2 linked regions of the Saccharomyces cerevisiae S288C genome follow. Changing the gene in region 2 together with the main gene of any one other region gives a genetic interaction. Each region holds a gene or a part of one and is shown on either strand. Other genes may lie near its edges.

Region 1 (4,142 bases), on a different chromosome or scaffold from region 2:
TTGACTTGAACATCCTGGATAGAACTTTAGGCTTTGTTGTAATTAATGAGATTAAAAGAAAGGTCAACTCCACTGTTGCAGAGAAAATTTACACCAAACTTGGTGATCTAGCTCTTTTGAGAAGGCAGATGCAACCCATTGCAACCAAGATGGCGTCATTTAGAAAGAAAATTCAAAATTTTGGTTACAATTTTGATACCAATACGGCGGATGAATTAATCAAAGGGGTGCTAAAAATTAAAGATGACGATGTTAGAGTCGGAATTGAAATTTTACTGTTTAAAACCATGCCAAGAGCTAGATACTTTATTGCTGGCAAAGTAGACCCGGACCAATATGGGCATTATGCCTTGAACCTACCTATCTACACACATTTCACAGCGCCAATGAGAAGATACGCTGATCATGTCGTTCATAGGCAATTAAAGGCCGTTATCCACGATACTCCATACACCGAAGATATGGAAGCTTTGAAGATTACCTCCGAATATTGTAATTTTAAAAAGGACTGTGCTTATCAAGCACAGGAACAAGCAATTCATCTATTGTTGTGTAAAACAATCAACGACATGGGAAATACTACAGGACAATTATTAACAATGGCTACTGTCTTACAAGTTTACGAGTCCTCCTTTGATGTATTTATTCCAGAATTTGGTATTGAAAAGAGAGTTCATGGAGATCAACTACCTTTGATCAAAGCTGAGTTTGATGGTACCAATCGTGTCTTGGAATTGCATTGGCAGCCCGGCGTAGATAGTGCAACTTTTATACCAGCAGATGAAAAAAATCCAAAATCCTATAGAAATTCCATTAAGAACAAATTCAGATCCACAGCCGCTGAGATTGCGAATATTGAACTAGATAAAGAAGCGGAATCTGAACCATTGATCAGCGATCCATTGAGTAAGGAACTCAGCGATTTGCATCTAACAGTACCAAATTTAAGGCTACCATCTGCAAGCGACAACAAGCAAAATGCTTTAGAAAAATTCATTTCTACTACTGAAACCAGAATTGAAAATGATAACTATATACAAGAAATACATGAATTGCAAAAGATTCCTATTCTATTGAGAGCTGAGGTGGGGATGGCTTTGCCATGTTTAACCGTCCGTGCATTAAATCCATTCATGAAGAGGGTATAATCTCTTCTACCAATATCGTCATTGCTGTTTTTCTTGTTTTTCACTTTCGTTCTTTGGATTGTGCTTCACCCCTCAGTATCCCTTCCCTTTGTTTTTATTTCCTGCGAACATTAACAACTGCATGAATTTTGTACTTCTCCTTTTAATCCACGTTCCGGTAAGGCATCATCCAAATTTTTTTATTCGACCTCGTTAAGTCATATATTTTTTCCCAAAAATACATAAAACAATAATGCAGCCTTCTTTTCAATATTTACAACTTTTCAATTTATATTGTCTTTTGTTATTTATACTCTTATATATTAAATTTATTCCGTTACTAAATACCCTTTTGCTGTACAAATATCATCAAAGAGAAGTACTGAAAGCTTACTTTTTATGCGCTGGGTAATTTTTCCGGAAACAATAACGAAATCATCGTCGAGCAATTTTGCTCGTACTTCAGAAACTACTGCGTAAACATTTGAGGTCGTACAATAAGTAGATAGAAATAAATAAACCAATTTTTCGTCAGCGTTTAATCTGTAGCCAAAGATTTGTGGTATTCTCACAGTTTGAATAATATTCAGCTACTTCATCAAGTAGTTTTTTTCAATAGGAGATTCACGGTTCAATAAGTGCATTGATTATGTTCGACCAATTAGCAGTCTTTACCCCTCAAGGTCAAGTACTTTACCAATATAACTGTTTAGGAAAAAAGTTTTCTGAAATACAAATTAACAGCTTTATATCCCAGCTGATTACTTCCCCAGTAACTAGAAAAGAAAGTGTTGCAAACGCAAATACAGACGGATTTGATTTCAATCTTTTAACAATCAACAGCGAACACAAAAATTCTCCTTCATTTAATGCACTATTTTATTTGAATAAGCAACCAGAATTGTATTTCGTAGTGACTTTTGCCGAGCAGACTTTAGAGCTTAATCAAGAAACTCAACAAACACTTGCACTGGTGTTAAAACTCTGGAACTCATTGCATTTAAGTGAATCCATTCTAAAAAATCGTCAGGGCCAAAACGAAAAGAACAAGCATAACTACGTCGATATTCTTCAGGGAATTGAAGACGACCTGAAGAAATTTGAGCAATATTTTAGGATAAAATATGAAGAGTCAATAAAACAAGACCATATCAATCCAGATAATTTTACCAAAAATGGATCAGTACCCCAATCGCATAATAAAAATACCAAGAAAAAATTGAGGGATACAAAAGGTAAGAAGCAATCTACAGGAAATGTTGGTAGTGGGAGAAAGTGGGGCCGTGATGGTGGCATGCTTGATGAAATGAATCATGAAGATGCAGCCAAATTAGATTTCTCATCATCCAACAGCCACAATAGTAGCCAAGTAGCTCTAGACTCCACTATTAATAAAGATTCTTTTGGGGATAGAACAGAAGGAGGCGATTTCTTAATCAAAGAAATTGATGATCTTTTGTCTTCTCATAAAGACGAGATAACTAGTGGGAACGAAGCTAAAAATTCTGGATACGTCAGTACAGCTTTTGGATTCCTTCAAAAACACGTTCTAGGTAACAAAACGATCAATGAAAGTGATTTGAAATCTGTATTAGAGAAGTTAACACAACAATTGATAACCAAAAATGTAGCACCAGAGGCAGCAGACTATTTAACACAGCAAGTCTCACATGATCTTGTAGGCTCAAAAACTGCAAATTGGACCAGTGTTGAGAATACTGCTCGTGAATCTTTAACAAAAGCATTAACTCAAATATTAACGCCTGGTGTATCCGTTGATCTCCTCCGTGAAATTCAGAGCAAAAGAAGCAAAAAGGATGAAGAAGGTAAATGTGATCCCTATGTGTTCTCTATAGTTGGTGTTAATGGTGTTGGTAAGTCAACAAATCTTTCAAAGCTAGCGTTTTGGTTACTGCAAAATAATTTCAAGGTCTTAATTGTTGCTTGTGATACGTTTAGGTCTGGTGCAGTTGAGCAACTAAGGGTCCATGTTGAAAATTTGGCACAGCTAATGGATGATTCACACGTTCGTGGCTCCAAGAACAAAAGGGGTAAAACTGGTAATGACTACGTTGAACTATTTGAAGCTGGTTATGGTGGATCTGACTTGGTAACCAAAATTGCAAAGCAAGCCATCAAATATTCTCGTGATCAAAACTTCGATATAGTGTTAATGGATACTGCCGGGAGAAGGCATAATGATCCTACTTTAATGTCGCCATTGAAGTCTTTCGCTGACCAAGCCAAGCCAGATAAAATCATTATGGTTGGAGAGGCTTTAGTAGGTACTGATTCTGTCCAGCAAGCCAAAAATTTTAATGATGCCTTCGGAAAGGGAAGAAATCTTGACTTCTTTATTATCTCCAAGTGTGACACAGTTGGTGAAATGCTGGGTACTATGGTAAATATGGTTTATGCTACGGGGATTCCTATCTTATTCGTTGGCGTGGGACAAACCTATACCGATTTGAGGACATTAAGCGTAAAATGGGCTGTTAATACATTAATGTCTTAAAAACTGTAATATCATAGTATATATATATATACCACAGACAATGTTATTCAACAATAATAAAGTGTCTTTTTTTCTGTGCATCAACAAGGTGACAGAATGTTGATGTAACTTCTTTCCACCAAGTGAATCTACAAGTAGTAGAATAGAGTATTTATATTCGGTTTACAAACTACAAATAGCGTGCTCATATCTCTTTTTTAATGATTTCATTTGTATGAGTATCGTCTTTCGTAGCTCTTCTAACGTCAATAATCTTAAAATCATCTGAAAAGTTGACATGCTCTGACACAGGAATAACAGTCTCTACTTTTATCTCTGGCATATTTGGCTCTGGACCATCTTTGATAAGATCTATAAAACTATCTTCCGAGTGACCTAGAATACAATGCAAAACGACTTGGGCGCCAGGTTTCGACAGGACCAGGCTGTTTTCCTTACAAAAAGAAGCCGCTACACAGTCAGGACATCCATCGCTGCATGGGCATTCTTCTATTCTTCTT
Region 2 (3,413 bases):
CTTGACAGCGAAAGATATAGCTAAGCTAGTAGCACCTGAGATGCCCCTAACAGAGGTAAGAAAAAGCCATTTGGCAGAAAAAAAGGAGTTGGCTGAGAGAGAAGTACCAAAACTAACTGAAGAGGACATGGAAGCTATTGGGGCGAGGGTTTTTGAATTTTTGGAAAAACAAAAAAGAGAATAAATGTACCAAGTGTATGCACTCTATTTTTATATTTGATTCTCTAGTGTGATTTTTTTAATCAGTATATCCCCTTCACTATTCACGTAGTAAATAAGTTATATTCGACCTGTATATATGAAAGCATAAAGTAAAGTTCAAAGAATATTCAGATATTGATGTGGGCAAACGTGATGACTTCAAATTACAAAATCTTTTCTTTAAAAATAAATTATGTGCGTATGTACATTATTTTTAACCAATAAAAGGGTTTAAATATTTATTTACAAGATTAATGACTGCCCTTTAAGCGTTGTCTCTTTATCTCATTGTACTAATGCTAAAATCGTTCCTGTGGTCGCTTTGCTTCACCAGGATATATCCAATCCCAGCGGCCTTTTTTATGTATAATGGCTAGGATTAGAATTGCCGGTAGGTGCAATACACTAGCCATAAAAGTTTTCCTTGCATAAATGTTGGCTACACTTAGACCTTTATTAAACTTGACGTTATCTTTTAATGTTTTTGCAGAATAGTTGATTCTTTGTTGCCAATAGAATTTGAAAGCCCAGAACGTTAGCCAGGCATTTATAAGTCCGGAATCTATTTGGTAGTACCAATCTGTGATATTAAAATAAGACAATCCGAAACATAAAGGGAACATTAGGATAGAGTATCTCAACGACACACGGGCGTTTAGGAGCGGATTTTTCCATGCAGTCATAACGTATCCGGCATTTTTGTATTCATTTCTAATGTTATGACTCAACGTATTAAAGTGTGGGAATTGCCAAGCAAACAATAGACCAGCAAGGCACCAAGATCCCGGATGTGAAAGCGGACTTGCGGCTGCCCATCCCATTAGAGGAGGTACCATTCCTACTAGGGCACCTAACCATGTGTTAATGATATGCTTTCTTTTCATAGACGTATAGGCCCAGCCATATAACGCGATATTTGAAGCACCAAGAATAGCAACGGTAGGATTAACACCAAAGTACAAGATAGATACTCCTAATGTTCCGATAAGTGCGGCAAACTCGAATGCCTGGGTAGGTGTAACATCACCTCTAACAACGGGCCTCGCCTGAGTTCTCACCATTTGTCTATCAAATTCTGGCTCTCTGCCCATATTTATAGCGTTTGCAGAACCGGAACACAAAGTAGTGCCTACTGTTAAACATAACAATTCATTGACGGAGGCTGGATATGGAGATAAAGCATACGAACAAATGGCACTTAACATCACTAGAATGGTGAGTCGGGGCTTGGTCAACTGAAGATATGGCATAATTACCTTCTTCTTTAAAGTTTTCATATTCAGCCCTTCGCTGATTGCGTGAGATGGTCTCTTAGATTTTCTTACCATCGGGTCTACAAGTTTGACATTAAATGGAAGTTGTGTGCTTGCATCGGTAGTAGCTTCGCTTCCACTTGAAGTTGATATATCATCTGTGCATCTTAGCGTTTTCATGGCAGTCGATTCAACCTTTTTATTGCAATTAGAGGTTCTATCACCATATCCAAAATTGGGAGTAAATTCTATCGGCGCAGTGTTTATATGTTGCTGTTTCCCGCCATGATTCCGACTAATATAACGAACTCCATTAAATCGAATTTTTATTTGAGTATCGTGCAGCTGTGTACCAATTTGTAAGTATATATTCCCTTTATTATGAGCAAGAACATTTCTCATCAAGTGAGCATATGTTCGAGGAAAGTAACTCATCTAAAGAGGAAAAAAGGAGAAATCGAAAAAAAGAGATACTATAGGCCTAAAATAAAAAGACCCCGCTATGAGGAATATTAATCACGCCCGAATCACGTCTATTGCAGATATCAAGAATTTTCTTCTTTGATTAATCTCACTTGCGGTGGATTTACGTCAATGGGCTTGCAAGCATAAAAAAGTCATTTTATTATTCCCTTTGAACAGCGCGCGGGCACGAGAAAGCTGCCCTATATAAACAAAGATCGAGTCTTTTTGGCTTGGATGATGTTTAAAATACTTTAAAAAGTGAAGACAAAAACTATCTTTATTTCCTTAAGTTATAATTATTGATGTATCAAATATAAATATCTATATGTGAGTTTTGTAATTAAAAATATGGCAGGAATATGAAAAATACATAACATCAATGTCTTTATTCATGATTTCAGTTCTTGTTCCAACCTAAATCTACTGCCTCTTCATATGTTGGGTAGTCGGTATAACCTTCCGCGGACATGGTGTAGAAGGTACTTCTGTCATACTTGTTCAATGGCAGGCCCTCTTCTAAACGGTAGACTAAATCTGGGTTAGAGATGAAGAATCTACCATAGCCTATCAAGGTTCTGGGATCCTTTACTTGTTCTCTAACCACTTCTGGATGAAGAGCGTAATTACCAGCTCTGATGATTGGACCCTTCCATATAGAGTAGGCAAAATCGTTAGTACCCTCGGAATATTCTCCTTCGCCCTCCACCAACGATGGGTCCGTGACACGTGGTTCAACGAGGTGCACAAAGGCCAAACGCTTACCAGCCTTTGCCCTCTTCTCTAATTCACCCAAAACATACGAATATTGAGCGATAATACCTGGTTCAGCACCCCCAGACATACTGTTAAAAGTGCCGTACGGCGACAACCTCAAACCCACCCGTTCAGGACCGATAGTTTCGATAAGAGCATCGACAACCTCCAGTGTAAAGCGGGCCCTGTTTTCGATCGTTCCGCCGTATTCGTCGGTCCTCTTATTAGAATGTGGATCCAAGAACTGATTCAACAAGTACCCATTGGCGCTATGAATTTCTACACCATCGGCGCCAGCCGCGATAGAATTCTTAGCCGCATGGATGTAATCCTTGATATACTGTTTAATGTCGTCTTTAGTCAAACTATGTTCGAGATTATTCGCATCTTTGGCCTTTTCTTGTAACGTAGCATTCATATACACTCTGTCAGATGCACAGTCATAGCGTAACCCGTCTCTTGCCAATACGTCTGGGAAGGATGCCCAGCCTAAAGACCAAAGTTGTACCCACGCGAACGACTGACAATCATGGATGGCTAAAAAGATATTCTTCCACTCAGCGACCTGCTCATCAGACCAAATCCCAGGGGCGTTGTCATAGCCGCCGGCTTGAGGGGAAATAAACGTACCTTCCGTGATGATCATGGTACCAGGTCTTTGAGCACGCTGACCATAATACACAGCAGCCCACTCCTTATTTGGAATATTTCCGGGGTGAGTGGCCCTCATTCTGGTCAATG

Evidence for each region. Genes that interact genetically often act in the same process or in processes that back each other up.
Region 1: mutations in COX10 (region 2) and SRP101 together harm fitness more than expected from each alone (negative genetic interaction), as found in Saccharomyces cerevisiae (2 studies listed by BioGRID).

The regions. Positions count from the first base shown.
Region 1 is NC_001136.10:1,042,646-1,046,787, reverse strand, and holds SRP101 (signal recognition particle receptor subunit alpha), read left to right. Parts: upstream 1-1,776; coding exon 1,777-3,642; downstream 3,643-4,142. Other genes in the region: mRNA-binding translational repressor SSD1, read left to right, coding at 1-1,148; HRQ1 (ATP-dependent 3'-5' DNA helicase), read right to left, coding at 3,827-4,142. UniProt on the Saccharomyces cerevisiae protein: Component of the SRP (signal recognition particle) receptor (SR). Ensures, in conjunction with the signal recognition particle, the correct targeting of the nascent secretory proteins to the endoplasmic reticulum membrane system.
Region 2 is NC_001148.4:223,853-227,265, forward strand, and holds COX10 (protoheme IX farnesyltransferase), read right to left. Parts: upstream 1,890-3,413; coding exon 501-1,889; downstream 1-500. Other genes in the region: mitochondrial 54S ribosomal protein uL24m MRPL40, read left to right, coding at 1-184; OYE3 (NADPH dehydrogenase), read right to left, coding at 2,317-3,413. UniProt on the Saccharomyces cerevisiae protein: Catalyzes the first reaction in the biosynthesis of heme A, a prosthetic group of mitochondrial cytochrome c oxidase (CcO).